4 linked regions of the Arabidopsis thaliana genome follow. The protein of the gene in region 4 interacts with the protein of the main gene of each other region in a pairwise test. Each region holds a gene or a part of one and is shown on either strand. Other genes may lie near its edges. The genes, in order: AT4G26410, AT1G50730, AT3G03990 and UNE16.

The links.
Region 1: the proteins of UNE16 (region 4) and AT4G26410 interact in a two-hybrid assay, tested with the Arabidopsis thaliana proteins (one large-scale study listed by BioGRID).
Region 2: the proteins of UNE16 (region 4) and AT1G50730 interact in a two-hybrid assay, tested with the Arabidopsis thaliana proteins (one large-scale study listed by BioGRID).
Region 3: the proteins of UNE16 (region 4) and AT3G03990 interact in a two-hybrid assay, tested with the Arabidopsis thaliana proteins (one large-scale study listed by BioGRID).

What each region holds. Positions count from the first base shown.
Region 1 is NC_003075.7:13,343,051-13,350,187, reverse strand, and holds AT4G26410 (chromosome-associated kinesin), read right to left. Parts: upstream 3,535-7,137; 5' UTR 3,429-3,534; coding exon 3,186-3,428; intron 2,694-3,185; coding exon 2,627-2,693; intron 2,411-2,626; coding exon 2,333-2,410; intron 2,201-2,332; coding exon 2,148-2,200; intron 2,036-2,147; coding exon 1,899-2,035; intron 1,812-1,898; coding exon 1,747-1,811; intron 1,632-1,746; coding exon 1,573-1,631; intron 1,487-1,572; coding exon 1,397-1,486; 3' UTR 1,051-1,396; downstream 1-1,050. Other genes in the region: AT4G26415 (uncharacterized protein), read left to right, coding at 1-169, 561-1,050; AT4G26400 (RING/U-box superfamily protein), read left to right, coding at 4,165-5,235; AT4G26390 (Pyruvate kinase family protein), read right to left, coding at 5,770-6,582, 6,670-7,131.
Region 2 is NC_003070.9:18,792,008-18,802,286, reverse strand, and holds AT1G50730 (uncharacterized protein), read right to left. Parts: upstream 7,078-10,279; 5' UTR 7,013-7,077; coding exon 6,896-7,012; intron 6,665-6,895; coding exon 6,482-6,664; coding exon of another isoform or gene 6,464-6,481; intron 6,364-6,463; coding exon of another isoform or gene 6,333-6,363; intron 6,244-6,332; coding exon 6,034-6,243; intron 5,711-6,033; coding exon 5,551-5,710; intron 5,353-5,550; coding exon of another isoform or gene 5,337-5,352; coding exon 5,004-5,336; intron 4,555-5,003; coding exon 4,391-4,554; intron 4,211-4,390; coding exon 4,019-4,210; intron 3,934-4,018; coding exon 3,844-3,933; intron 3,588-3,843; coding exon 3,507-3,587; intron 3,418-3,506; coding exon 3,274-3,417; intron 3,132-3,273; coding exon 3,049-3,131; intron 2,860-3,048; coding exon 2,718-2,859; intron 2,625-2,717; coding exon 2,541-2,624; intron 2,002-2,540; coding exon 1,840-2,001; intron 1,766-1,839; coding exon 1,678-1,765; intron 1,323-1,677; coding exon 1,248-1,322; intron 1,115-1,247; coding exon 1,048-1,114; intron 885-1,047; and 9 more.
Region 3 is NC_003074.8:1,030,786-1,037,032, reverse strand, and holds AT3G03990 (alpha/beta-Hydrolases superfamily protein), read right to left. Parts: upstream 3,455-6,247; 5' UTR 3,246-3,454; coding exon 2,442-3,245; 3' UTR 1,796-2,441; downstream 1-1,795. Other genes in the region: AT3G04010 (O-Glycosyl hydrolases family 17 protein), read left to right, coding at 1-154; AT3G04000 (NAD(P)-binding Rossmann-fold superfamily protein), read right to left, coding at 598-1,009, 1,127-1,533; AT3G03980 (NAD(P)-binding Rossmann-fold superfamily protein), read right to left, coding at 3,952-4,360, 4,844-5,247. UniProt on the Arabidopsis thaliana protein: Involved in strigolactone signaling pathway. Does not move long distances acropetally in the plant to regulate shoot branching and is rapidly degraded in the presence of strigolactones.
Region 4 is NC_003075.7:7,934,732-7,941,327, forward strand, and holds UNE16 (Homeodomain-like superfamily protein), read right to left. Parts: upstream 3,915-6,596; 5' UTR 3,767-3,914; coding exon 3,583-3,766; intron 3,309-3,582; coding exon 3,232-3,308; intron 3,124-3,231; coding exon 3,069-3,123; intron 2,979-3,068; coding exon 2,900-2,978; intron 2,822-2,899; coding exon 2,752-2,821; intron 2,556-2,751; coding exon 2,133-2,555; 3' UTR 1,875-2,132; downstream 1-1,874. Other genes in the region: AT4G13630 (zein-binding protein (Protein of unknown function, DUF593)), read right to left, coding at 1-672, 749-1,298; AT4G13650 (Pentatricopeptide repeat (PPR) superfamily protein), read right to left, coding at 4,880-6,596. UniProt on the Arabidopsis thaliana protein: Transcriptional activator. Probable component of the central regulatory system controlling transcriptional responses to Pi starvation. Binds in a sequence-specific manner to phosphate starvation-regulated promoters.

The sequences.
Region 1 (7,137 bases), 5.4 Mb from region 4:
AGATGATACTTCAGCTAGAGGTTGAAGAAGATATTGTTCGAAGAGCGAGACTCCGTGAATCTTACTACGGTACTTACGATAATTGTGATGACCATAATGATGTTGATGATGATAAGTTATATCATCAGCCCGCCCGGATGTCATGCGTTAACAGTTCCGATATTTTGAGGTGCGTCATGCTTATTTTTATATGTACTTAAGTAAATATTCTCATTAGGGACTCATGAGCTCTTACATATAGTTAACTTTTTTTGACATGCCACGTTAGTAATTAAGATGAATATTGAATAATGAATATAACGTATTCAAGAGGAGAAATAACGTTGGTTTCATGATTGATAATATGATATTCACCGGTGTAGATTTGAATGTACGAAACAAGTTATATGACTACATTTTAAAGTGTTTTTTTTTTTTTTTTTTTTTGAATTTTCTAGATTTCGTATACTGGTGAAATCTGTAGTGATATTTAAGGAATTACCGGAAGAAACAGAAATAATTTTATTGTGTATGATACTATGATCAATACTAATATCAACTTCTGTTTGTCTGCCGTTAAGGTCAGCAAGGAACGCGTTGAATCAGTACCCACGTTTCTCACTGGACGGTAAGGACGCTATGTACCGGTCATCCTTCCGGCGCCATCTTGGCACCAGTGCTGACATGACGATACAGGGTGGGCGGAGATCCCACTGCGGGGATCAACGGACATCAAAGAGATCGAGCCAGATGAGCTTGGAGACAAAACGCCTGCCACGGACAGTGGCCGGAGAGAGTGTGGTATGGTGCAAGACGGGGGTTGTTGCAAAGCTGATGGGTCTGGAGATGATACCTGTTCCGGACAAGGGAAAATCGGGAAAAGATAAGTTAGGGACTCTGCTCAAGAGGGAGCGTCTAAGGAGGAGAGAACGGACTCTGGACGTTAATGGTCGGACCGGTCCGACGACTGAAGCTTCTTGCTCGTCTGGAGGGTTTAACATTACTAGACCAATCGGAGCAGTTGGGTCGCCTAGTCGCATGGGTGGATGGCCCACAGCCCGTCTCCCATAGACTTACGATGCAAAACTAGCCCATTAAAAACCTTCATGTTATCTATAAATTTTCATTACTGATTGATTCAGTAACTTTCTATGTTTCTCATAAATCTTCTAGACTACATAATTAAGGATTTCCAAACCAAGCACACACATTTTTGTGACTCAATTAATTCTCTCTGAGCGAGAAATCTTAGGAAGCAGGCAAAAACACAGTATACAAGTTCTGTCTCAAGCTCAGATTTTGGTTTCAGACAGAGTTGGATGTTCGATGGACGAGAGTACACTGCGATTCAATTGGAAAATACCTAACAAACTTTGGTTGCGAAAACCCAAGAAATTGTGGATTTGTGTTGGATATATCAGACGGAAACTCCTAGGTCCGACATACCCATGATCCTTTTGTTCAATGCAATCCTCTTCTGTCTCAAAAGCGAAGTCATGGAAGCCACCTAATGATTTACGACAAAAGAATTTAATGAGACGTTCATAGCAATGAAGCTCAAACAATGGGCGAGAAGAAAAAAGTCAGACTCACTTCAGCTCTAAGCTTGATAGCATCCCTTCCAGGAATTTGCCGAAGTCCGTCCATCAAATCTGCAGCGAATAGAACTCTTTGTGTAAGTTGAAATCTGACGTAGTGGCATTATCAAAGATACCATTTGAAGGGAGAAGGGAGAAGTGAGTAAAAATAAATCTTGTTCAAGATTACCAGCAGCTTCACATTCAGCTTTGTGGACGGACTTAGCAAGACGATGTATATCGTTTCCAGAGTTCCTATAGATATAACAGTAGTACCCATATTAACATAAATGATGTCAATAACTTAATAAAAGAAGTGGGAGCGTCCATGTTGGGGCATACATGAGCTCAGAGAGACCACGTTTCATATCCTTCTCTGCTAAAGCCGTCCTCTCAAGCAATTTCCTGCTCTCCTTTTTCATCAAGTCTACAGACATGTTTAACTCCTGAACATGCTTCTCAGCTTTCAAGAATTGTGCCTGAAGCGACGATGATTTTGAAGTGGATGTAAAAATAAGGGAAGGGACACAGACCAGGGCAACTAAGCATAACAACGTTAAGAAATAAATTTGAAGCTGGTATAGTATATACCTCTTCGCTCTGAAATCGGCCTAGTGTATTACGAAACAAGAATCTTCTTGGGCCTGTAAGTCGAACAATAGAAAACCAAATTCATACAAGACACATATAAGTAAAACAGATGTAATACCATTTGGATGCTCCTACGGGAAGGAATCTTGTAAGTTGTAAAAGTGATAAGAGAGTAGAGGTTATACCTCGCATCAGAACGAGACTAGCAGCGACACCAATCCCAATAGCAGCAGCCGGATGCTCTTTTGCGTATATCAATTCGTCTGCGAGGATAACAAAAGCAGCAGAGGATACGAGGATTGATTAATCGGAATGACATGAAGATTCTAGTTTCAGAACACTATAAGATGCACTACAAGTATATATAAAAGTTTTGTGGCAGCTATCTGTTATATCTCAGTTTGATCTAAAATACTCGTTCCTAAGCATTACAGTAGTCTACCAGTATAACTTTTTCACGAAAATTGGCTGCAAGATACCTGTAACTTTACTGAAGAAAGCATTCTCATAGGTCTTATACTGAGTCAAAGCATGTGGAATGAAATCCTGCAATTTCAGAATCAAATGTAAGATTGTATGAGAGAAGACGAAGACATATACATACATCTAATGGAACTGTGATTTCAGCCAGATAGGGTCTACTCCATATCACACATCATTAAGCTACATGAATATCTGATATCATATAAAAACATTGTTTAGAGAATAATCAAGAATGCCTCAGCGATACATTACAGTCTTCTAAACAACCATTTGAAGCAGAATCAGAACCCAGGAAGAGACTAAGATCATTGCCAATAAGTTATAATGGTATGATTCAACAAGATTTTACCCATATGAACAAAAACTAGCACCATTCAATACATAAAACTGCTAATTGGAGAAATATCTGTTCTGAATCGAGCTCATTTCTAGAAATTATAGCTTACGAGATACTAAATTCCACCATATCCATGGTTTGAAATCCTGAAAATGTTTTTTGGTAAACAATCTCGATTCGCAAAAATTGTTTGGTGAACAAAAGAGAGATTAACTAACCTGTATAGAGCGGAACTGAGAGGTAGAATTTTCACGGAGGGAACGAGCAGAACGCATTGCGGTATCCTTCGATTCCTTCACCGTCCGTTGCAAATCACCCACCCATTTCTCTGCTCCTTCTATGGCTCCTTCCACCGATTCAACCACTCCGATCGCTGTATGCTCCATCGCATCAGAAACAGTTTCAGTCTCAATCGCTGGAGCCGAATCATCGGTAACGCCGGTTGCTTCGGTTTCGCTCATCGTCTCCGATTTGCCTTTCTCGCACGGAGACAACGCCTTTTCTCCTTCTTTCAACTTCAACCGGTTCGATTCGGTTCAATTTGATTCCAAATTAGAAGTTGGTTTTAAATGGTTAAGATAGACCCGGCTCCTTTATATATCAGTTTGCGGTTAATGGGCTTTAAGATTGGGTCTGCGAACTATACATTACATTCCCTTTTCTTCGTCTTCATCTTCGTCTTCCTTTCCTCCTTCATTCCTCTTTTCTTCGTCTCCCACCATTTCTGCAGAAGAAGACAAATAAAAAAGCTCTCATTTATCTTCGTGGAGATCTAAAAGAAGGAGGAAGACATTTCTTCCCTCTGGATCTCCAAAAGTAAGAACATTTACAAGGTTTGTTTTTGTATTTGTTTTGTTTTAATTACTCCATGAGAATTGAGAGTTTTCTTTTCATGGATTAGCCCTGATTTCTATTGTTATCTCTTTATAGAGGCAAATTTTGGTTGATCTGTTTATTCGCATTTGCATAGAAAGCTTGCGTTTTGTTGTCTGAAACTTGAGCTAATGATGTTGGTGAAGATGATATTATCCTCTTTTTAGTGAAACTTTTGGGAATACCATTCTCTTTATTTAGATCTGATGAAACAAAGGTCGAAACTTTATAGGTTTGCTTCTTCATGTTTTTTTTTTTGTTGTTCTTCTGGTTGTTTCAGAAACGAGAGGTTTGGGTGGGGAAGGAAAGAAGGAGGAAGAGGCAATGTCAGCTAGGTATTGGTGTCACATGTGTTCACAAATGGTGAATCCAGTTATTGGTGCCGAGATCAAATGCCCCTTTTGCCAAAGCGGGTTTGTCGAGGAAATGAGCCGTGAGATTAATGGCGGCAGCAGTAGCAGTCTAAGGGAGGTTCAAGACCCTGAGATTGATTTTGGTACAGACCGTGCATTGTCTCTATGGGGTCCAATCTTGCTTGGAATGATGAGTAATCCTCGTAGACGTAGAAGGTTTAGGAGGACAGAGTTTGGTGTGGATAATGATGAGGTCAATGTATCTGATGATGTTGATGGAAATGACAGCGTCGATATTGATCGACATCATCATCGTCGTCATCGCCACAGGCAACAAGGTAGAGAGATTGATTTAGACAGAGAGTTTGAGTCTATCCTTAGGAGGAGACGGAGAAGCTCAGCTACTATATTGCAGTTGCTTCAGGGTATTCGTGCAGGGATTGCTTCTGAGTATGAGAGCTCGGATCGAGACCTGTTAAATCAATCAGCTGTTGTTCAGGGTTCAACGAGTTTGAATCAAAACCGGAACAATACTTCTCTTTCTGCAATTGGAGATTACTTTGTTGGATCCAGTTTAGACCATTTGCTTGAACATCTAGCTGATAATGATTCAATCAGGCACGGGAGTCTTCCAGCACGTAAAGAAGTTGTGGATAATCTCCCAACGGTTAAGATAAGTGAATCATTGCAGTGCTCGATTTGTTTGGATGATTTTGACAAAGGAAGTGAAGCTAAAGAGATGCCGTGTAAGCACAAGTTTCACATCCGGTGTATAGTACCGTGGCTCGAGCTTCACAGTTCATGTCCCGTGTGCCGATATGAACTCCCTCCTGATGATGAGACCAAGGTTAATCCTGTAAGACCGAGAACAAGAACTCTAGAGATCAACGTAAGTAATGAGAATGTGGAAGATGATGCAAGGAACAGTAATGTGAGCGAGAGAAGGTTCTCTTTTCCATGGCCGTTCAGCGGATTATTCTCTTCATCCTCTTCGTCATCCGCATCGGCCTCGGGGTCATCTCATCTCGGTGAGAACTCGTAAACTGCTATTCCTCAGCTTATAGTACATAAAATCTTGTTCACTCAGATTGTTGAATACTGCATAACAAATAAACACTTTCGAGGAATGGAATCTTTTCTTTATTTGTATTATAATATCTGATGATCATTTGGGTTTCCGTTAAAAGTATCCCTTTTAATTTAGTAAAATATAAAAAGATGAACACAGGTATTTATGTTGAGAGGGAGAGGCATGTGACTGTGAGTATGGTTGTTGACTGCATGAATCGCATTATCTCCAAATACGAATCCCAAAGTTGTGTGATCACGAGCCAAATGTGATCACACATTTTTGTAAAATATATTCAAAAAATAGTCTTTGTTTATGCAATTGCACTCGTACCAAACTAATGTACTTGTAACCAGAGTATGATCCAAGAACATTATGTAGTGTGTGGGAGCCACACACAAAAAAAGAAACAAAAGAGACTTTGAGTTTCATCTCAAGATTAGTCACCATGATGAATAAACATCCAAAACGCTAAGAAACACCGGCAAAACTCAAACGCAAATGGGATCACTTGACGGTCAAGATCTTGATAACAATAGCGTTACCTGTACGGAAGAGAGCCACAACAGAGTCTCCGGTCTTGCAGAGTTGCTTCTTTTTACCATACTCTGACGCGAACTCGAGAGTTTCTTCTGTTGACTCGTCGATCGAGGCTCTAGCCGATCCAGCATACAGCACCGGGACTAAACCACGGTAGATGAGACTGTGTCTTGCCGGTGCCTCGTTGCTACACGCCCAATCAAAAGAGTCAGACGTGATTTCAGGAACCACCACGGACAAAATGGGTATCCCTGGTCTATACTTAGCCACCAGCCTCGCCGTGCTGCCTCCTCTGGTCAAGACCATCATAAGAGTGGCTCTTGAGGAAGTAGCGGTTCTGACCGCAGATGAAGCAAGTGACTCCATCGGGCTCATAGGGACCGCAGCGTGAAGCATTATCCTCTTGAAGATGTCTCCATAGTCAAGTGTGCTCTCTGCTTCCACACATATCTTGGCCATTGTACGAACAGCAAGCTCTGGGTATGCTCCAGCTGCGGTTTCACCACTAAGCATGACACAGTCTGTGCCATCGAGGACAGCATTTGCAACATCAGTAGCTTCTGCTCTTGTTGGTCGTGGGGATTTGATCATAGACTCAAGCATCTGAGTCGCTGTAACCACTGGCTTCCCCATGAAATTGCACTTGTAGATCATCACTTTCTGAGCTAAGAATATCTTCTCAATTGGAATCTCCATTCCAAGGTCACCTCTTGCGATCATAAACGCATCCGAGTTTATCAAGATATCATCAAAATTCGCTACACCTTCTTGGTTTTCAACCTGACAATATCAAAAGTAACATATCATAAGAATCTGAGTATGGATATGTGATTTATATTAGTTTGAGTGATGTATGTATATATGTACCTTTGACATGAGAAGTATGGTTTTAGCATGTTTTCCAAGTAGCTTCCTAACTTGTACCAAGTCCGAACCTTTTCTGACAAAAGACAGAGCAATCATGTCGATTTGATTGGGAACTCCCCATTCAAGAATGTCTTGCTTGTCTTTTTCAGTTAGAGTTGGGAGATCAACCACAACACCAGGGAGATTAACGTTCTTTCTTTCACCAAGCATTGAAGTGTTCTCACAACGACAACGGACAGTGCCCTTTTCTTTGTCACAAGAAAGGACCTTTAACGAGATGGTACCATCGGCACAGAGTATGACCATGCCTGGATTCACATCTTGCGCCAACTTCTTGTAGCTCATGCAAATAGTTTTCTCATCACCCTTCAAGTCATAGTCAGTTGAAATGGTGATTTCTTGGCCTTGTTTGAGCTGGATAGGTTTCCCATCCTTTAAGAACCCGGTTCGAATCTCTGGTCCCTGCCA
Region 2 (10,279 bases), on a different chromosome or scaffold from region 4:
CTGTATATTATTATTATACACCCATTAGCTGCTATAGTAAGTGTTGCCATACTCAAAACTATATCGTCATTTTCCTTATGGACACAAATAGATACCCAGTACAGTACAAACGAGTACTTGACTGGATCCAAATGCAACAATCTCACAAGCTTTGTTGCCACCACATTTGGGATCATATAATTTAACATTCACTCGGTGTATCTTAGCTGGAGTGATTTCTTAGTCGATTCGATGTACCTGTCATTGGCACCCAAACAACCTTTTGCTGTTTCCAGCAGTCTCAAGCAAAGTTCTTTGACTTTCTCATTCATCTGCACAACATCAAACATGTCACCACCCCAAGTTAATAAAACTTTTCAAGAATGAGAAAATATGCAAAACTTGGCAGAAAAACAGTACCACTAGTGCTGATGATATGCAATTGCAAGCTTCAAGCGCCATGTTCCCCCGAGAAATCTGCAATAATAAAACCTCGGGTTAGTTAGAGAAACAAAAAAGTTAGAATGTTTCTTATTAGTGGTAGTAGTTTGACCTGTGAAGACTCTTGCTCAATAGCATCTAATAGTTCACTTAGAACTAACTGAGTACACGAGACAAGTTCCTGCTTGTATGATGAATCACCAAAGAACAGCAATTCATTTCCAATTATCTGCACAAAAATAAGTATAACCCAAATTTTACATTATAAAACCAGCCATCAGAAAACAGACTACGCAGACCAAGGAATTTCGACAATGGAACTAATGTTTTGCTTCAAATAAGATGATGAGAGGCATATAAATACCTCTGGATTGGCAGAATGGTAAGGCAGATTGTCCTGAGAAAGTGTCGACAACAGTGACATTATAGCACAGAAAATCTTCACCTTTACTCTCAGTGTTGCCCTACAACAACACAAAATGTCACACAATCACAATTACATAAGGGACAATAAACTTTTAGCCATAAGAGGGCATTAGAACAGCAGACAAACAAGAGAATACATGTCTATTTTACATGTCCACAGCCCACAGGTAGGTAAAAACTAAGTCCTTGAGATATGCATACCATGAACTAGAGCGAGTAGCAGAGAAGATACTTTTAAGGATCTCCATCACGCCTTTCTCGGGATTACCTTTCCAATTGAATATACGAAAATAACTCAGTTATGAAGCTCCGAAGAAATAAGGAGAACGAAATCAATTTGGTGACACAGAGTCACATCTATATTGTTGAGCAAAAACTATCAAACAGTTTCCACGATTTACCTGGGATCATTACCAAGAGGCTGCACAATTTGCATATAACCGAGGCCATACTATCTATATCAATTGATTTTAAACCTGATAGAGAAAAATGTACAAGATATTATACCATCAACATATCCGATGCATATTCATTCATTAAGACATATACATTTATCTGGAGAAAAAATAAAAGGCCCTGAAGAACAACTGAAAATGGAAAAAATACAAAGCTAGAGTGACGAAGAAAAAGATAATCATCTATACTTGAAAAAACTTCACAAGTAAAAGTGTATGCAGGCCACCGACCATAGAATCATCATTATAATATTTAAACCAAGTATTCTCTTTGCAGTAACTGGTCTTAGGGTGGCAAGATATGTCAGACTAGTTTTATTACTTTTCAGATATTTATTTAGTATCCAGTAGTTAAATTAAACATTTGCAGACTCACCATCTGTCAGCACTACATTCTCTAGATACTCAACAGCTGACATGACCAGTTCATCTGAATGAGAAATCAAACCACCTAAAAGTGCAACCTATAAAACAAACTTTAGTACGTATATTGCTTTGAAGTGGGAGTGTAAAGGACTGAAAAAGACAAAAATATTACCTCAGCAGTTTCAAGATAAAGATTTAAGTGTTTCGTGGGAGATGAAATAGATGGGATGGTCACTTCGCTAAATGCTAGGCAAGATTTAACAAAGTTGATATGCTTCTTTCCTGCTTTCAGTGCTTTTACTGCCAAGGTGTTGCTTGAACGAACAAGTGTCTCCTGCAGCCAGTGACCATAAGCAGGAAAAATGATCAAAATGTTTGATAATTTTTGTTTGTGTCAAGCTCTAATGCAAATAAACGAAAAATAAACACACCCATAGCAAGAAAAAAAGCATGTGGGAAGCATGTATTGCTCTTGTTCCCTCTCTAGTCTCTATACTTAATATCTAATAGTCTCTGTACTCCTCCCTTCTCATAAATGTACCATATCATATGTAGCCAAATTTTGCGGTAATTTCTAGAGTTTTTACCAAATTCACATTAACCTTCAAATTCTATTATGTATAACTTAGATCATGCACCAGATGGCAGATACATTGCTGCTTGACCCTCAAATCCAAGGCTAAGTATCCGTCATGACCAAGCAAGAAAGGACTAGATAAATAGCAATGCACCATAATTAACTGATTACCAGATAATCAACTCTCTTTAAGAAGTAAAAGAATGCACAAGACTGGAACTATACAGGGTCCTCCACAGGTATAGCAGTATTAAAAGTTAAAACTGATACCAAAGAATAATTAACTTTTTGCTGACCTTAAGTTCATGTATCCCATTAAAGGCCTCACGACACTCCGCCAAAAACAATAAATGGCGTTCCATTTCTGCCCCATAGTCAACCTAAGCATCAAAAGTGAAGTCAAATTCAACTAACTTGACAAAAAGGGCAAGTGCTCACTGATTTCGTAATAATGTAAGTGGAACTTAAGGTACCATCTCAACAAAACGAGAAATTAAATGTGATGTCTGTCTATTGTCATCATCCTTTATGTTAACGAAATCTGTAGCATCATAAAGAGCCTGAGAAACTTCAAAAAGCAATTGCACTGTTGTTGAATCACAAATGCAGCCATTCCTGCTCCAAAGGAAAAGAAACATGAATACTTTAACCAAGAAAGAAAGAGGATCACAAATCCTTCCAAATACATAAACGTTATGTATGTAAATTAACGTTCATCAACTTTACAATGGTCTATGTCCCCATCCAAAAAGTGTGAGATATTTAGTTCAAATTAAGAACGTTGGAAAAACAAACAAGCCTTACCTTGTACCCATGTTAAGAAGATGCATGTTTACACTGCTCTTTGAAGTCCCAGACATAAGATCCAGAATCTCGATGAAATGATTCTAGAAGATAACCAAAGAAGTTGTTTAGCGAAACTAGATAATGATGTCATCCAAAGAAATACAAAACAGCTCTATTTGGATGCTGTGTACTGTTTCCTGAAAGCCTGAAAGTAGATAAAGGAAAGAGGGAGGAAAGTATTACCAGAGGAAGTACTTCTTGCAAGTTCTCGAAATGAGAGAGCAGCTTCAAAATTATGGATTGCAAACTTGCTTGTTCTTCTTCAGAAAGAAACTTGTCGCGAGCTAGGCTTACAATATCATCCAAGAGAGCATCCAGATGATTTTCCTGAAACCATTAAAACTGATAAATAAATCTAAAGAAACGAGATCAGAGAATTCTCATGAGTACAAATAAAAAAATCACATCGGTCTCACCATCTTGTTCTGCAACATAAGATCCACATATGCGTCCATAATTCTTAAGTAGTCATAAAGTGACTGATACTGAGAAGCAGCCTGTTACAATAGTTACATTTAAATGTCAGCCTGTTGCAATAGTCACGTTAACTTTTCGCTCCTTACCATAGGTTTTGTTGACATATTAAATGTGCAAGAAAAGGAGTATTATGCAAATCAGTATTCAGGAAGGAGTGAGATGCATCTTTTGGTATATGATGTGTATATATAAATGTCAGTATGTCAGGCACAAAAAGATTGAAAATCCATGAGAATGAATTCCTAATTTTGTTGAACGAAAGACGAAACACCAAACCTGAATAACTTCATCAATGAGTGAACTGAGAAAACCTTCTTGAGATTTCCCTTCAGACAATCTATTTCCAAGTAACCTATAATTCAAAACCTGCTTGATGAAACAGTACAACATAAAAGGAAGGGTTAGACTCACTGGATTGTCTATTTTATATAATCTGAGATGAAGAAATAACCTGACTAAAGGAACAATCATTGCTGCATCTAATCATATCCAAGATCTCCATTGCTAGTGAACTAACTAATTCAGACGGAAGTTCCTTGAGTAAATAATGAAGTAAAATGGACACATGCGAAGAGTTGTAAGATGACTGAAATTTGTTCCGTCCAAATCCAAGCTCCTCAAGTATGCCCAAGACATTGTTCTCCTGTACACTAACCAAATTTTTAGGACAACAATCAATTTATAACAAACCACGGAAATGATAAACAAGGTCTGACAGACATTTTTTGCCTCAGTAAATGTAATGCAAAACTAACTCAAGCTCATTGTGAATGGGAAAAAAAGGTGAACCAAAAGTTTTAGTCAGTCAAGAACATTGACTAACCTGACGTCCAGTCAGAAATAAGCATTTCATTATATACTCGATGGCTGGTTCCACCAAACTAAAAAGTAACTTTTTGTCGTCTGTAATATAGGAATACCCCTCCTTGTCCACTAAAACAGGCGCCAATACATCTTCAATATCCTTGATGCATTTGATTAAATATCCTGTTATATAAAGGTCAAACTTAGATATCAAGTGTCTTCCTCAAGGAAGAAAAAAACATCTCACATAAATCTAATTGTTGGCATGTAAAATCCTAACTTCAAATTCGCAAACTGAAGGTGTCTAACATTACGCATCATCTTGCTAAAAGTAAAAGGATAGGAGACACTTCATCTACAGATATTCAGTCATGATGGAATGATTCACGAGAACTCCCATGTGCTATACTCAAGTCAAACAGACTTCCCTAGTCTCTTCAAAGTTCAAACTGTATTCACTCATGACAAGGAAATTCATAACTTATAATATCTAGCAAGAAAATGTGACTAGAGTAGAATTCTGTATCCATTTCGGTTTAAGAAAGCCAAGCTTATTCTGCAAATTACAAAACATTATGATTCTTCAACCATGTATCTAGCATTTTGCTGAAAGAATAATAGTATAAGAGTACCTGAACTGCAGAACCCAAACTTCTGCATGCGATGCACCATATAAAGACGACAATACAAAGATGTCAGTGGATCTGCGAGACCTCTCACCATCATGACTAAACGATCCAGAACTTCCATGGGTTGATTAATGAGGAAACGCCAGCAAGGCAAGATCGCAAGCTCCAGATAACTATGGGCATACAAAGAAAGGCCAATGCTAAGGCAGAGGAAGGTAGGGAGAATAAGAAAAATAATAATTGATGGGGCTTTACATGCGAGGGAGAAGTTCTCGAACAGAACCAACTTTGCAAAACCAGTTATAGCAAGTCTCTCTTGCTTCAAGGCAGATATCACTTGATTGAAAATCATCTGTCTTTAGCACAGGTTAGAGAATAAATTATAAGCTGCAACTAGAAATAACGCTACCTGTTGGCATCAAATGTATGTGTTTGATTGTAATCATGAACAAATGCCCAGGTCACATAATTTTATTCTCGAGAACACTATGCTCAGGACTAAATATTATTTTGTTAGAAAGAAACACACGATTAGAATAGAAATGCATACTCGGTAAGGCGCAGATCACTGTTCCATCTATATCAAGTTCTGCTTTCTGTTTGATCCGCTCCCACACCATATCCCCAAGCATATCTAGCATGTCAGTGACAATGACAAAGACTGTAGGATAAAACCGCAAAACTGTTGTATCCATCAGAAGCTTTGTGACCTGCAGAATGGAAGATATTATTGAACCCTAAAATAATAATAATCTAGTTAGTTAGGAATAAATATCTACAGCCAAAGCACATATCTATTTTTATTTCCAAGCAAACTGCTTCTATGGCGGAAAAGTATTCAAATACAACTCCAATTGAACACGAGCTTTTAAGAGCACTCTATATTGGATATATCAATCAAATGAATCCTTTTTACTTATTCATACGGATAAAAATGATACAGAGGAATAGAACACAACCAATTTTTTGAAATTTTTACAAACAAATTCTCCATGCTTTGTTGCAAAGCAATTTGATTAGTTAGTATGTTAACCTTTATTGATAACTTCAACGATGTTACTCGATCTTCAGCCTGCCAAGCGCTATTTATTCCATCTCTTAGCTCATGTACTTTGGCTATATATTCATGTTGGCTGATTATTTTGGCCGGCTCTTCCAGAGAAGTTTGTTCGCTGCCAGTTTCCTCCGGATGGGAAAGAGCAGAAGGGGACTCAACTGCTGATTGAGTAAAGCAAAGCAGAAGCTGTTATGATATGCATCCACAAGTTCATGAAACAATAAACCAGGCTGCTACAATGAAAAGGGTTATTATTAGGCATAACGAAGACATACCCTTGGAACCTTTCGTTATTATATTAGATATCTGTAAAATATGGGTGAACAGGTTAGACAAGATGAATAAGGGAGACACCAAATGATCTTTTTAGCAAATAATAAGTCTCTATGCAAAGAATATACGTAACTGGAGAAAATGAAATCACTTTGGAGACAGGAAACCGCTGCATTAAGATTCTTTTAAGTGATTTCCACTCCTTTATCAGATCCTGAGTTACAGCTTCAATGGATATACAAGTATCTTCAACATTCTCTTCAGCAGAAGCATTCACATCCAAGCCCCTCAATGGATCAAAGAAGTGAAGATCGCGACCTCTGACAGTTTTAGCCTACATATATATTTTATAAATCAATTTTTTCAAGTCTTATTATGCATCAATCCTCTTCAAGAACTAAAAATCAAAAGCCATCAAATTCAGCAGTAATAATCAAACAATATATTGAAGTTTTTTACTCTAATCACTAGGAATTCAGAGAAGACTAATGAATTGGATAAGGGAACAAAAATGTGGGAATTGATATAGCTAGTGAACGCTCCTCTAAGGGATCGTATCGCAGACCTGTTGGTCACGAGAAGCAAGTGTAGAGGAAAGAGGATGCTTTTGAGTTTGTGACCGAGGAAGAAATTGAGATTTATGTGTAGCTCCATAGTCGCGACGCCGGAATTCCAACTCCATGGCTTTGTGATTCTCGTTGTCGTCTCTCCGGAGACGATCTGCGATTCTGCTTTGAGAAGAACCACAACGCTTAATGGTGATTTTACGGTGTCGTTTTATGAAAAGTCAAATTGGAGTAGACGTGTCCCAAAACAAAAATTCTAACCCAAGAACAAACCGAACTAAACCAAACTTAACCAGCTGAATTGATTTTGTCAACGTGAGTTTTTTTTTTTTCTTATAACCAACAACTTGTGAGTCTCATGTCTACTCCGAATTAAGACTGAAACAAGTTAAATTAGTTCTCTCTTTTTTTGTGTGTTTGATATTATTTGAGAGCAGTGGAGGATCTTGAAAAAATTAGTAGAGTTAAAAATAATGTTAGTGTTAATTATGAGAGAATTCCACATAAGAAGTCCAACTATTATCTCATTAAAAATTCATAAACCCACCTAATTTGAGTTTTTATAGCAAGTTTAGATTCATAAAAACTATGTTGTTATAAGAAGTTAAGAACCAATAATCCAATGTAGCTAATTTTGGGAGTTGCAACTTTATGCAACTGTCCTTGTTCATCATTTCATGATATCAATCTAAGATTAACTAAGTTTGGTGTTCTTCAATTAAGCTTCATTTCTTTGTTTTCTTCTTACACTAAATAAACCTATTTCATTTTGTATAATTTCTATATATCTTACTACGCCTTTTTTTTGTGCGTGCGAAGACTTGATTTTCATTCATTCAGAGACAAACGAAAAACATAGTACAAAGGTGAGATTCAAAGATCTAAAGTTTTGTAAATGAAAAGGAAAGACACTCACAAATGAACATAAAGATTGTAAAGATAATTCGACTTTTTCTCTACAAACACTTGAAGGCAATAGCTAGATAGCTTCTTGGCACAAGCAAATTCATGGTTAGGCGTGGGCACTTCCACGAGTACTTCGGGAAGTGAAAGATTAGTCACGGTTGTGTGACAAAGTGACGTTGAGGACGGTTCCAAAACCTGATTACGCTCTTTTTGGGCAATAATCCTTTGGTCTTTGGATTCTTCCACATTAATGGGGTCAATGAGGGAGTCTTATACCAGATATTCAACAAGTTACTCGTACTCTTCATTCAAATTGATAATATTTGTGGTGGATTGATAAATGTTGCACCTAAAACGTGAATTCGTAGGGATATCATGATATTAATTTTGGACTTTTTTATATACGTATATCATTTATCTTTTTCTACTTTTTGTTGCTAGATCAATAACTATTTATTTCTTAATTAACCGTGTGAAGTTTGAACTTTTGTCCCATCATTGTTCTTGATATCCGAGACAACCCGTTGATACTACCATGTTTAAGATGCAAATCACCCCTCGCAAATGGAGTTGAATAGTGAGGTTGAGATCAATAACTAATCTTGAGAACAAAAATTTGAGCAATTTCTTTCCAAAAGCTATTTAGATGATAAATTTAAATTTTTATCAAGATTAATAGTTTTTCTTATCTATTAATTAATATATACTAAATAATATGAAAATATGAATAGAAAAAAATATATAATGATTTTTAAAGGATTTTAATCAATTTCATTTTATAAATTAGATTTTAATCATATCTATCATTTTTATATTCTCTTGAAAAATTGTTTAAATAAAAAAGAAGTATGCACCGTACGCAAAACTTACGCATGCAATATTCCTAGTACTAGTAGGCTAGTAGATTAGTAGTTAGCTTATACGTTATACTAGCACACCTATATGTACGCTTATATCAAATGGCATGTTCATTTGATTATAAACAAATGCAAATTAACAAACACAAATTACAGAAAAATATTGCTATATCTCAAATTGTCAATGTTGAATAACTTCTTTAACTATTCCAATATCATAACAATTTTAATATAAAAATATATAGAATAGTCCCAAGAAAAAATGTTTAACGAAGTAACAAAAAGTTCAATAATAATTAATTTAATAAATATTATAATTATTTGGCCGACGGTGTACGAGAGGGCACAAAGACTTGGAACGAAAGTCCCTATGGTAATATTAAGGATTTGATTAACATTGCTTCACCACACCGCATGCCTTTAATTTCTCGTCCAGCCATGATTATACTCACACTTTCTAGGTCACATTCCGGCTCTTCCTTAATAACCGGTTTACCTTCTTTTTTTTCAACTTTCTTTAAGCATATATATCACTTGATCAAGTTTGCTCACATTTGTCATCACACAAATATTTTTGATTATTATAATTAGAAATAGAATTAAGGCTTTAACATATGATGCGTGTAATCGTCATAAATTTATTGTTAGACCTAATTAAGCTTATTTCAAAATTTGTTAACCTAAATATAAAATCTTACACACTTGATTAATATACATTGATTATCGACTAAACTAACCGGCAGTGCTTAGATTATAATCATTAACTAGATTTTAACCCGCGGTATACCGCGGGACTATTTATTTTTTTTAAGTAATATTTATTAAAACTTGCAAATTTTATTTTTATAAAATATTTATATTTTACAATTTATAATTGTTATTAAGTAACGGTATACCACGAATCCATGAGATAATTGTTAAAAATCTGAAGTTTTAACCCTTATTAAAACAACATATTAATAATATTTTAAATTTTTTATAAATATTGATTCAAATACAACCACCATATAACTCAATTCCAAAATAAAACCCGTTCTGTAATTTTTTTACCCGTCCCGTGATTTTTTTTTAAAGTAGTAATTTTTAAAATGTAAGAATTATTTATTATATATAAAATTTTTGCAAATTGTATCATTCTCTAATACATTTATATTTTATAGTTTAATTTTATATATAGTAACATTATACATATTACATAACTTTTTGGTTTTATATAACCTTTTCTAAATTAAGATGATTTGATATGTTTAATATTAGTGGTCTTAAAAATAATAATTTAAAGATTTAACCCGTATAGAAACGGTAGATTAATTATATTTTACTTTTTTATTAATGTTGATTCAAAAAACCCGTCCCTCCAAATCCGTCTTGCTAAAAAGTCATTTATTTTATTAATATTAATTTTATTTATGATATGACTCTGAATTATAATCTAAAATTTTTAGCTAATAACATAGGAGTGCACCATATTTATTTAATAGGGAAATGTACCATATGACCCGAATGCACTTTTATCCAAATCCACCAAAAAAGTCTTGCAAAAATACTATAGAGATAAGAAACTATAGTCGGTTTTGATAGGTATAAGATTAGCAAATATATTAGTTAGCTTAAATTAGT
Region 3 (6,247 bases), on a different chromosome or scaffold from region 4:
GCTTGCAACGATTACTACTCAAAATATATCTCAAGGACAATGTAATTTTCCAATTCAGATTGGAGAGCCATCTTCTGGTCATTATGATTATAGCTATGGTTCGATGGTTAGGTTGTGTTTGGTGATGAGTGGCTTGGTCTTTCTTCTCATATAGAACAATGAGATTATAGTATTTGATTTGTTGTATATGACTGATTTATTCTTGGTTCATCAATCATTTGAAGGTTTTGTTCCATCGGATCAAATTCATAACATATTTTTTTCTTTTTGTTTGACTTCTTGCTGACTAATTAACTTTGATATTCCTCGGTCTGTTTTTTAATAAAGGATTAAAGAGATAAGAAGAGTACACAAACCTTAACAAAATAACGTAATAGATAATTAAACGTATAGGGATGTTGTAACGTTATGATAAGAAGAGTACACAAACCCTAATTCTTATCTCCGAGAACAGAGCACATAAAGCAGAGCTTGAGGTTGTATTTGACTGGTTATTGATACATGGATTATTGATGTTTCTTTTCATCAGATCAAATCCAACGTTTGAAATTTGAAAGCTTTTGATTTTATAAGAAGACTAATAACCACTCTCTTTCTTTACAAGAGACAGCCACCATTAGCCATGATGACTTGACCGTTGATCCATTCGCCAGCATCACTGGCTAAGAACCCAACAACAGGTGCGATGTCTTTGGTCTCACCGATCCTACCAAATAAGTTCTGTGACTTAACTTTCTCAACAATCTCATTGCTCAATCCTGTGTAAAACATTTCTGTGGCGACGGGACCCGGAGAAACACAGTTAACTGTGATCTCTGTTCCTTTGAGCTCTTTTGCAAGAATCTTGGCCATGGCTTCTACGGCTGCCTTTGAAGCCGTGTATGAGCCATAGTTTGTATTTAAGGTTTGAACCAGTGATGTTGAGAGGAGAATTATCCGGCCACCGCCTCCACGTTTTAGCCTATTCGCAGCTTCTCTAGCACAAATAAACGCACCTCTTGTGTTCACACTGTTATATCAAACAACGAATCTAATTAATATCACTATCTAATTAAATTCACGTTATAGAGTTGCAAAATAACTAAATGAAACAATCTTTATAATAAATGAGTTTCTTAAAATTAACCTGATAATGCGATCAAAAAGTTCTACTGACATGTCTGAGATAGTGGAATGATTAGGATCGGCTATAGCCGCTGAGTTAACCAAGATATGAACCGGCGACTCGAAGACTCGCTCTGCCTCATCGAAAAGCGACTTTACCTGGCTCGGCTCTGAGATATCAGCCTTCACCACAATGACACGTGGACTTTTGCCGGCGACTTCCGCGTCCTTTGAACAGTTGGTGGTAATCGCCGTGGCAACCTTCTCAGCCTCAACGGGGCTAGTTGAGTAATTAACGACGACCCTAGCCCCAAGCTCGGCAAGGTGGATGGCTATGGCACGACCTATTCCTCGAGAAGATCCTGTGACTATAGCTACTCGACCGGCGAGGCAAAGCGGTGGAGAAGAAACTGATGACGCTGCAGCCATACTGTTAGGTAGATTTTACTATAAATTTACTTTTCTATATTTAGGGTAGAAATGATGACAACGTGCTAAAAGAGTGTAAGCAAGCAATTTGTAGTGGTGATGGTTAGATTTGTCTTATGCTGTCAAATTCGTAAGCAAATTGAATTGCTGAAAATGTTTTTAGATTTGTCTTAACCTGTCAATTCGTATGCATTTTGAATTGCTCAAAAGTTTAGATTGATAGGACGTGTTTTCGTTGTGTGATTGTCTTCTAGAATTCACACACTCACTTTCTCAAATCTTAACTTGTATTATATATAGCACGGTAACAACATTATACAACTAACCAATTTTATTAACTTTAAAATTATTTAGAACACACATGCATAGTTGCATACTATAAAACTTAAATCAAGATTATGTCAGCCATAGTTGCTTCATTTTAGTTGTTGATACTTTTACGATGTGATGCTAGAATTTTCTAGTATACTTTATATCTTTTTGTCTCCATCATTTTATTAGAGAAAACAATCGAAAGTGTTGAGACTAAAGATTGTTGTTGCATCGATGTGTTGTTAGACGTCAATCAATACAAGGTCCAGGAACTTACAAGAAACAACAATATGGATAGAAATATTCAGAGGAAAGTAAAAGATAAGATAGGATTTTTTAATGTTTTTTTTGGTTATTCTCCAATTATTTTATGAAATAAACTTGTGATTATAAACTAATGAAGAGAGCAAGAAAAAAAGTGATAAAAAAGCGAAAGTCACGTGTCAAGTGAACAATCTTATCTTACTAGATTTGTGACAATGCCAAACTGTCCTCCACAAATAGAGGCCCTTCTTTTCTTCGATACGTGGACCCCACTAAACCCATATTCCACCAATTATATTTTATTGTTCTCTTTTTATATCTATAAAAAAAAGTCACCGAGGAAGAGCTCGCCGGAGAAACTGAGCAAGCTGCGCCGGAGCACTAAGCTGCGGCAAATGTCCTTCAGTTTTAAGAGTCTCCACAGTAGTATCTCCACCGAGATGAGACCTAAGATACTCCGCCACCGAAGCCGGCACAGAAACATCCTTCGCCGTCTGAATCACACACGTCGGAACTCTAACTAACCCAAGCACACCTCTCAGATCGCTGTTGAAAACCGTCCTCGAAACAAACAGAGATATATCCGGACGCATATTAAACAAAGTCCGGCTAAATTCTCTAACCGCCGCCGGAACATCAGCTCCAACAGCAAGCGGAGCAAATCCATGAACCCAAGCTTCGTAATTAGCTTCCATAGCTGAGAAAACTTTCTCAATCTCACCTTCTTCGAATCCTCCATGATAATCCTCGTCGTTGAGAAACCTAGGCGAAAATCCGATCAAGATAAGCTTGGAGAAAAGCTCCGGCCGACGAATCGAAGCGATGATTCCGATCATAGCGGAAACAGAGTGACCAACGTAAGCACAGTTTTGGATTCCGAGTGAATCAACGATGTTGAGAAGATCATCGACGTAAGGATCGAGAGTTGTGTAACGATTGAAATCGAAGTAATCGGGGTTGACACTGCCGGCGCAAACTAGGTCATAGAGGACGACTCTGTAGTTTTGAGTGAAGTAAGGAAGGATCAAGTGCCAAGCTGATTGGTCAGTACCGAATCCATGGGCCAAAAACAGGATCCGATCACCCGTACCCACGACCCGGACATTTAGAGCTTCTAAGATGTTGTGTTGACTCATTTTTTTATGTGTTTGGGTTTGAGGGTAAAGAAGAGAGTTGGATACTGTTTATATAAAAACTTGTTTGGGTAGGTGTGTGTGTGTAATGAAAATTCCTTTATCATCTTTTTTTTTCCACTGCATTTATTATTATTATTATCCAATACTTTCGATTGGCTTTTGAAGTTTATGGATACAAGAGCATGCGTTGATTATTCGTCACACATCTGATATATTTTAAGAGATTTAAGATGCTTCAAGGATATTGTTTTTAGACTTTTAGGTGTTGTTGCACTTGCCATATTCTTAAACCATTTTTTTATTCTGTAGTTGTATTTCAACAAACGACGTTTATCCCAAAGATTATTCGAATGGTGGGTGATGATAAATTGAATTATATAAAACATAAAGTGGTTCCAATGAATGTGTCAGTACGAAGACACGAGTTTGTAAATTAAACATAAGGTTTTTAAGAAATTCAAAAGTTAGATGTCGACGACAACAACAAAAGGATGTCGACAAAAAAAGAAGAAGAAATTTGGATATATTTTTTTGGACATAGGTGAGTCACGAGTGTTTTATTAAGATGGTTAAGACATTTATTTTCAACCTCAGTGTTTATTATTATTATTATTCCAATTGAACCCAATGTTTTATTTCTAACAAGTTAACCCCTACATTTGCTTCTCAAGGTATCAGGAAGAGGCTCCTCTCAAGACGAACTCTTTTATACATATCCACCATTAACAGGAATGATTTGACCATTGACCCATTCACCACCGTCACCAGCCAAGAATCCAACAAGAGGCACCACGTCTTTGGCTTCGCCGACCCTCCCAAAGGGAGACTCTGCGGCTATCTTTTCCACCAACTCTGGGGTCTTTCCATCAAAGAACATCTCAGTGGCGATGGGTCCTGGAGCAACACAGTTTGCAGTGATTCCTGTTCCTTTGAGCTCTTTTGCAAGAATCTTGACCATAGTTTCCACAGCTGCCTTTGATGCGGCATAGGCACCAAACCCTGGCTTTAAAGATCGAGTCTGGGAAGATGTCAGAAGTATGATCCGACCACCACCTCCTTGTTTTAGCCTATTGGCAGCTTCCTTGCTACACAGGAACGCTCCTTTTGTGTTGACACTACACTCCATTTTAAAAGAAACAAACAGAGGATTATTGGAAACAAGAATGAAGGAACTTTAGTTGGAAATTAGACATACAAATCTCACGAACATGGAACATTGGATGAAACAAGAAACATAAGTCGATTAATTAGCCACAAGAACACGAGACATGTTGCATTTGACTCATAATTAGACATACAAATCTAAAGAACACGGAACATATAATTTCATGGTTCATGGAGAGTGAACAAGAACACAGATTCCACTAAAATCTCAGTTGAAATATACTAAAGGAATCAGCTTTCTAACTCAAAATCATAGAACATGTAACAATTGATCAAGAACTTATACATAATCATCAACCTAACTAATTAACAAAAAAAAGTTTACTTTTCCAGTATTGAGCGGGAAGACAAGAACCCAATCAATGAAGATAAATTCTCTAAAGGAATCAGCTTTCTATAACGAACCCAATCAACGAACAGTATCGAGTATATACCTGAACGTATGATCGAAATCTTCGACTGATGTGTCTGCGATCGTAGGGTACTTTGGATCGAGAATCCCAGCAGAGTTAACCAGAATGTGAACCGGCGCTTCAAAGGCACTCTCCGCCGCATCAAACATTGATTTAACCTGGCTTGGCTCAGAGACATTGGCCTGAACCACAATAGCTCTTGGTCCCTTTCCAGTGATTTCTTCCCTAACTGGAAAATCATTGATCTCCGACGCGACACGCTCGGCGTCTGCGGCTTTAGAGGTGTAGTTGATAACAATCCTCGCACCGAGTTCAGCTAAGTGGATCGCTATCGCTCGGCCAATACCACGGGAAGAGCCGGTGACAATGGCGACTCTTCCGGCGAGAGGAAGCGGCGGTTGCGAGATTGATGAATGTGTAGACATAACGATTTGAATTCAATGAGTCTTAGCAGTGATGTGATTGGAGTGAAGAAGATAAATTGGGATTGGCCCTCATTATAAGTTCATTCATATTGTTTTACAAATCAGCCCCTAACTTTATATTTTAACAAATTGACCCCTACCCGCTCCTTGACAGTTTTCCTCTTTATATCTTCATATTTATAGATTAATGACCCATTCATTTCTCCATTTAACAATTTAAACCGTATTCTTTCCTCTTTATATCTTCATATTTATAGATTAATGACCCATTCATTTCTCCATTTAACAATTTAAACCGTATTCTTGATTCTTTGTCCAGAAAAGCCTTACATTTCGAATTGGGGAAATATCCTTCTTTTTTCTTTTTTGTGGTTTAAATTATAGATATATATTTAAAAGTTTATAAACAAAACAATTTTCTTTGTAACATTATAATCTAAGCTTAGATTTTTTTTTTTTTTAAACCGATTATTTTTGCCGACACAGTTTTATTGTTTTGTCAATTGATTGTATTTACTGTAGTCAAATATTTGTTCCCAAATTGAAACCAAGGCATTGGATTTGGACCAAATTTTTGGGGTAAATTATGGAAATAAAGTTCATTTGGCAGTAAGAATATGAATGCAATTTGACTACTATTTTCCATAAAATTTGGTCGAATTGTATCTGGACAATGGACAATAATAGAGATTTTAATCAAACAGGATTCGATGAATTAAATATTTTTTTTTAATTTAAAGACAAATTGATATATATATATATATATAGTTTTAATTAACTATGAGACTAACATACAAACTTTACCGGTTTGTGTAAAAAACATTCAAAACAACCCCATAACTAAATCAACTCCCATGATCTTTATTTTGGGTAAAAGACCTCCAACGTATCCTATTTCTTAGCTACATTAAATTCAAAAGGTTCAGAGAATTAAGAAGCTAATCAAAACCATTCTATCAAATTACTAATAAGCAGTCGCTTCACTAAATTAGTTTCTACA
Region 4 (6,596 bases):
TTCTTGATACTAGTTCTGCATATAAAGTTTCACCTTCCTCTCTTTCTTTCAGTTCTATATCACTCAGGGCATCAAATGGCTCACTTCTTGACTGATCACACTCAGTATTGTCCATCTGATTAGTGAAGATCTCAAATCCAGAAGAGACATTCACAGTCTCCATGTCATCCCATGGTTCAGTAATCTGTTGCGGCGTCTGCAATCTTTCGATTTGAGCTGGTTTAGAATCTGGAGTATTGTGAGGTTGCTCAGTCTCAAGAAACATTTGCCTGTAGGTATCAACTTCCTTCTCCAGAAAATGTTTCTCCCTCTCCCTCCTAAGCAAAATTTCTTTAAGAATACTCATCTCTTCCGCATCAAAAGCAGACTTTTCTTCTATCATCCGCTGATATTGCCTAGCTTCCATCTCTATCGACGCCTTTTCTTCTTGCAACCGTAATATCATACCTAAAGCCTCATCTGCAGCAGATGCAGCAGCATTTCTCTCTTTCTCAAGTTCAAGAGCTAACGAAGCACGTGCAGCTCGTTCTTCCCCAAGCACTTGTTCTGACATCTCAACCGTCCTCTGTACCATACCAGGGGAACTGCATGCACCCTCTCCCACTCCACACCCAACAGAACTTAGTGAAACACTTTTCCGCAACGACACATCCTCCAATGCTTTTCCACTATCTACAATGTTACAACTTGCATCAAAATCAACATTCACTATCCAATATAATTGAATAAAGACAACAAAAAAACTTACCATTGGAGTTCACAAGAAGAGGATCATTTTCATCATATGATCCCTCAAAGCTCTTAAGGCCTAAACAACTTTGGTAATGGTTCTTGAAACCATACGGCGACCTATGGAAGCTAAGCCGCTTACTCTTAACTTTAAAGCTTCCTTTTTTCAAACTTTGCGCAGTTAAAAGATCGAACCCTGAAGCCTTATTCTCAAACTTTCCAACAGAAGGAGTAGTACTAGATACCTCATCTTCCAACTGAACACGTCTACGCTCACATTTTCTCTTCTTTCCACCATTATACAGAATTGAATCAAAAGGTGTTCTATTTTTAACAGATCTTTGAACAGAAGAGATCTTTTTAACCGGAAGATTCCTTAAACTCTCTTGAAAACACTCACTGTATAGACCATCACAAGGACATGGTAGGTCTAAACCAAATAAACCGAGGAACTTCGATGTTACATAAACGATAAACGATGCGCAAAGTAGCGAAAACGCAACGGAAAGATCGATAAACGCAGCCACTAAACCTTTAAATGTCCATGATTTTACCTCCTGGCAACGCATTTTATACCTGCAAGTATACAATAATCTACAGAAATTACTCAAAGTTTGAGAAATTGGTTAGAGAATCAAATTGTTATTTGAATCAATTACAAGCATATATCCAAATCTAAGACTAATTTGGTAAGTTAATCAATCAATCAATCAAATTATATATAAACACAATCGTTACCACAGAGAAAACTCAACGATGAATCAATCGTTAACACAGAGAAACTCCTTGCGATTTGATTAATTTTTAGTAAATTAGAGAATTGAAACTCACACGAAGAAGAAGAAGTTGAGAAATCTTGGGGAAGCAAGCACAACGTAAACGGCTCTTCCTCTGCCGTTTTTATTTTCTCTCTTTGTTCAAAAATCAAAACTTCTTTTTTAGTTTTCAAAACTTCAGTTGCAAATCACCGTACGAGTGAGCAGATACGCCGTCATTTTATCGCCGACCCCATCACTCTCTTCCTCTTGAGATTTTTTTTTTTTTCTTTGACATTTTATTTTACACACGTAATCAAATTTGTGCATTTACGCAAATGTGTGCCAACTAATTTGTAGACAAGATCCAATCTATAGCATGGAGATAAGTTATGAGTATTTAATGAGTATTTTTTATGTTATACAATTACATAAATTCTATATTTAGGTTTGTCCAAAAAAGAAAAAAGAAGGCAAGCTTAGAAAAAGTTGAAGCAAATACACAAACTAAAAGAGAGGCTACAGATTCAACAAATATATACATAGACGCTAAGACAAGTTTGATGACAGAGTTTAGAGTTAAATACAACATAGCAAAATTAAATAAGCTAAAATCTGGTCTCGCTCTCTCTCTCTCTCTTGCTAACTTCATCCAATGCTACTACTAGGCATAACCCATCCAGCATCATGACCAACAACCACACTATCTCCATTTCCAAACACTCCTCGTTGTCTCTTCTTCATCAACGCAGCTGATACCGGACTTCCTACAGTGCTGGAAGTCAGAGAGCTCTCTGCTGAACAGTTGTTCTTGTGCTCTATTGCTACTGCAAGCTCGGATAAGGATGGAATCATCATTTTGGTTGTGTCGAAGGTGCTTGTTGTTCCTTGGCACCCATTGGTGATGGAGGCCTTTATGGCTAGCTCTGAAAGCTCTTCTCTAGCTGCCTCTAACCCAGCAAATGCAACAGCTTGCTCCTCTATAGCCTTGCAAGCTTTCTCTAGAATTGATTGCAGGTACTTCCCTTGTGCCTCGATCCTTAACTGGAGTCGCCTTTGCACCTGCGTATACTAATGGATCTTATTAAATGTGGAACCAGGGCTCAAACATTAGTATATGCGGTTTCTATGGTTCTAACTTTCATGAAAAGATTTCCTAAGTAGTAACGTTCTGATAAGCTTTAAGGAAATTCAATGGAGGTTTCTATATAGTCTCTCATTAACCAAAGTCTCTCTGGTATTTGGTGAATTCGAAGAAGAAACTAACCTCTAGTTGCTCGTGTAGTCTTCTTTGGACTTCCATCTGGGCACGCAAAGCTTCAGTGACCTGGTAACTCCTGGCTCAAGACAAAAACAATGAGTGTTATAGACAGTGAATATAACACTTGGAATAAAGAGAACACTTGAAACCATACTCGTTCTGTTCTTGAGCAGCCAATCTTAAGGATGATGTTGAAGATGAACCAGTGTCCTGACTCTCCGCAACACAAGAAACTACAGAGATATAAGTTCACAAAGATATAAATGCACAACTGAATCCATAAAGATATAAATGGATTCTTAGCTAAAGATATAACTGAATACCATCCTTAGAGTTGTCAATTGATTCTTTACAAGATTGCCTCCCCAAGCGGAATTTCTACCGAGCAAAAAACCAGAGAACAACACAGTCAAAAAGCAATGAACTTTGTTTGTTATAAGTAGCCAAAGAAGCATAATTTGATATTGAAGGTAGTAGCATCAAAACCTGAAGATGAGATTTGAGATGGTAAAGAGTGAGACCCTTCACTCCCATTGTTCTCATTATAGTTTTAGGCGTTGCTTCTGACATCAAACCAAACACACAAAAAAACTAATCTTGTAAACAAATCTCAAGGCCAATAAAAAAAACCTAAAGAATGCCACAGTAATTCCTAAATTGTTCTAAGTGACATAAACCCAAGAAATCCATTCTATTTCAGGATGATTGACTTCCAAATCTGAAAGAAATTAGACCTAACTCGTTGTCAAATTCTTCGTACTAACTGAAGAACAACAGATTAAAAAAAAAAACACATTTCATTCTAAGATCCATAAATTTCTAAGAAGGGACACTTACTGTCGGGTCCGCCGAGCTGAGTGACGGCGTCAACGAATCTTTCATGGAGCTCAGAGGTCCAACGAAGGCGAGGCTTGGGGTCAGTGGTTAGGACCAGACAAGCGTCGATGGGAAGATTGGTTCCGTCAGAGTAGTCTCCCAAGCTGCCATCTAGAGGAAGCGAAGACCGAATCGCCGAGTACATTCTTCTTTGATCCCCACAAAGGAACAAACTTTTCTTCGTTTCTTTTATTTTCTCGGCTGTTTTCCCGGGAAAGTGAAAGAAAGTGTGAAGAAAGATATTGTGGATTTCTAAGACAGCGAAGAAACGAGTTGATAGATTGGACAAGACAACACTCGGATAGTATTTTGTGTTTATATTTGTGCATTATTGAATTTATTTAGATATTTTCAAAAAAAAAAAAAGAGAGAGCAGAATTTATGTTTTGGTTATTTGTACTCTTTGCATTGAAATTCCAAATAACATATATGTTTTGAAAAAGTAGTAAGATAAAATTTCTTTTAGTTATTATTTTCGTTTTTCAATAGCAGAATAAAACTTCAAGTTCTCTATCTTAAGATGGTGCTAACTGCTAAAATAAACCAAATGAAAAAAGAAAAAAATAGGGTCCTCAATTTTTTTTTAAATATCAAATCCTTTAAACCTACTAGACATTTTTCCAATTATTTTTCTTTTATATAATTCAAGAGAAAAAAAGTATTCTTTAGCTTTAGTTTTTTAATTTTTATATTACTATTGACAAAATTTGTTTATGTAATAGCAGTTTCCAAATTCAGCCACATAAAACATTAAGAAATCAGAAGCACATCAATCATTCATATGCATAAAGAGAGACTCTGTTTCTTGGCAACATAGAATCTTTATTTTGAGACACTTTCTCTTAATCTACAATTCATCAATTTTAAAGCCATAGATGCACGTATATATGTAATATGTACACATATATAAGCCCCTAAAAAAGGATGGGGTATGAAAGATAGTGATAGTTACTTAGCAATGGTAGTAGAAACAAAGGAGTGGTTCGTTTTGTTAAGTCATCGATGGTCTCCTTTGCTCATGATCAACTCCTGCATCAACTCCAACTTTTCCTCAAGAACAGTCATGTGACTATTCTTTCCTTCAGGATAATACTCTTTGCTCAAGTATATCGTCTAGTATCATATCATTGCTGAGAATTCAGCTTACCCGTAAGGTTTGGTCCATGATCTCCTTCTTTGAGCGAGAACCAGAGCTCGAACTTTGGAACACAGACTTAACCTTCCCAAAAGAGGCGAGTGAGCTACCAGGCTTTGGCTCTTACCAGTAATCTTTACAAGAGCAAGCACCTCCTTCAAAATGATGAAACCTATATGCATCCCTCACTATGATTTCTCGATTTGATACCTTAGATACAAACTTTATCCAAGCATGGCAATCGTTGCAAACACGTAGGTTCTTCATTACATTTATAGGCACTGTTGCAGGCAAGCTAAGGAGTCCAAATGAAATTGCTAATTTCTCGCTGTGGATGAAAATTATTGGATCTTTTTGCTCGTGCTGCAGTTCATTCAATAGGCTGAAACAGTCTTGCACATACCCGATTTCAGATGCTCGTTTGGTAAGATCTTGGAAGTATTCATGTATCTCATCTGCTAACGGGTGATTCTGGTCACCAACATAGAAAGAGTGAATTGAGTTTTTAACTTCAATCCAACTTTGTCCCGGTTCTTTCTTCACACCCTTTTCTTTCATCTTTTGTCTTGTAAGATCCCTAGCATCCCATTTCTTGGACACCGCATACAGATTTGACAGAAGAACATATGTTGCTGAGTCTTCAGGTTCTAACTCTAGGAGATGATGCGCTGCAAATTCTCCTATTTCCATGTTCTTGTGCACTACACAAGCACTCAAAAGTGTTCTCCAGACCAAGGCATCTGGCTTAATAGGCATTTCCTGAATGAACTCTTTCGCACGGCTCAAAAGACCAGCTCGAGTTAGCATATCCACTACACACACATAGTGTTCCGGTTTAGGAGATAATCCATATTCTGAATTCATGGATTCAAAGTATGCAATCCCCTTGTCCACTAGTCCTATGTGGCTACATGCTGATAGAACTCCCACAAGCGTCACATGATTAGGCCTTACATTAGAATGTATCATCTGGTCAAAAGAATCTAGTGCTTCAGAACCAAACCCATGTTTAGAATAAGCATTAATTATCGCATTCCACGAAACTTCATTTTTCGTGGAGACTTCAAGGAACTGCTTCTCTGCATCAGAAATGCTCCCACACTTGGCATACATAGAGATTAAAGCATTGCAAACTTCGGTTTCTGAATCGTATCCGGTTTTGGTGATCACAGCATGAACCTGCTTCCCTTGTTTCATGTTAGCTGTCTCAGAAGCAGCTTTCACAGCAGACCCAAACGTGAAATTATTATTGTCAATTCCTTCTCTGTTCATTCGAACGAAGACACGAAGTGCTTCTTCATTGTTTCCACTCTGCTGAAATCCGGATACCAGAGCATTCCATGCTATATTATCTCCAGCTTCAGTTTGTTCAAACGCTAAATACGATTCCTCTATTTTTCCGCATCTAGAATAAAGTGTAACCAGTGCATTTTGAAATGGCAGGTCAGATGAGAAACCAGATACACAAGCTTGAGCATGAATTTGCTGTCCTTCCTTTAAGGCTTGAAGACCAGCACATGCACTAACTGCATTTGTCAATCCAACTTCATCAGACCGAATCCCTCGATCCAACATCTGCCTGAAAGTTGTTAAAGCTTTGTCGTCGAAATTGTATTGCGTGTAACCTGCAATCATTGTTGTCCAAGACACAACATCTTTTCCAGCAAACCTTATAAGTATATCCCAGGCAGTATCCAACTTTCCTAATTTTGCATACATATCGATGAGCACACTACAAACATAGGCATTGAGCTGAAAGTTAGTTTTTATTATTTGACTATGGATTTGTTCTCCAAGCTCCAGATCCCCAAGTCGTATGCAAGTTTTCAAAATACTCGGG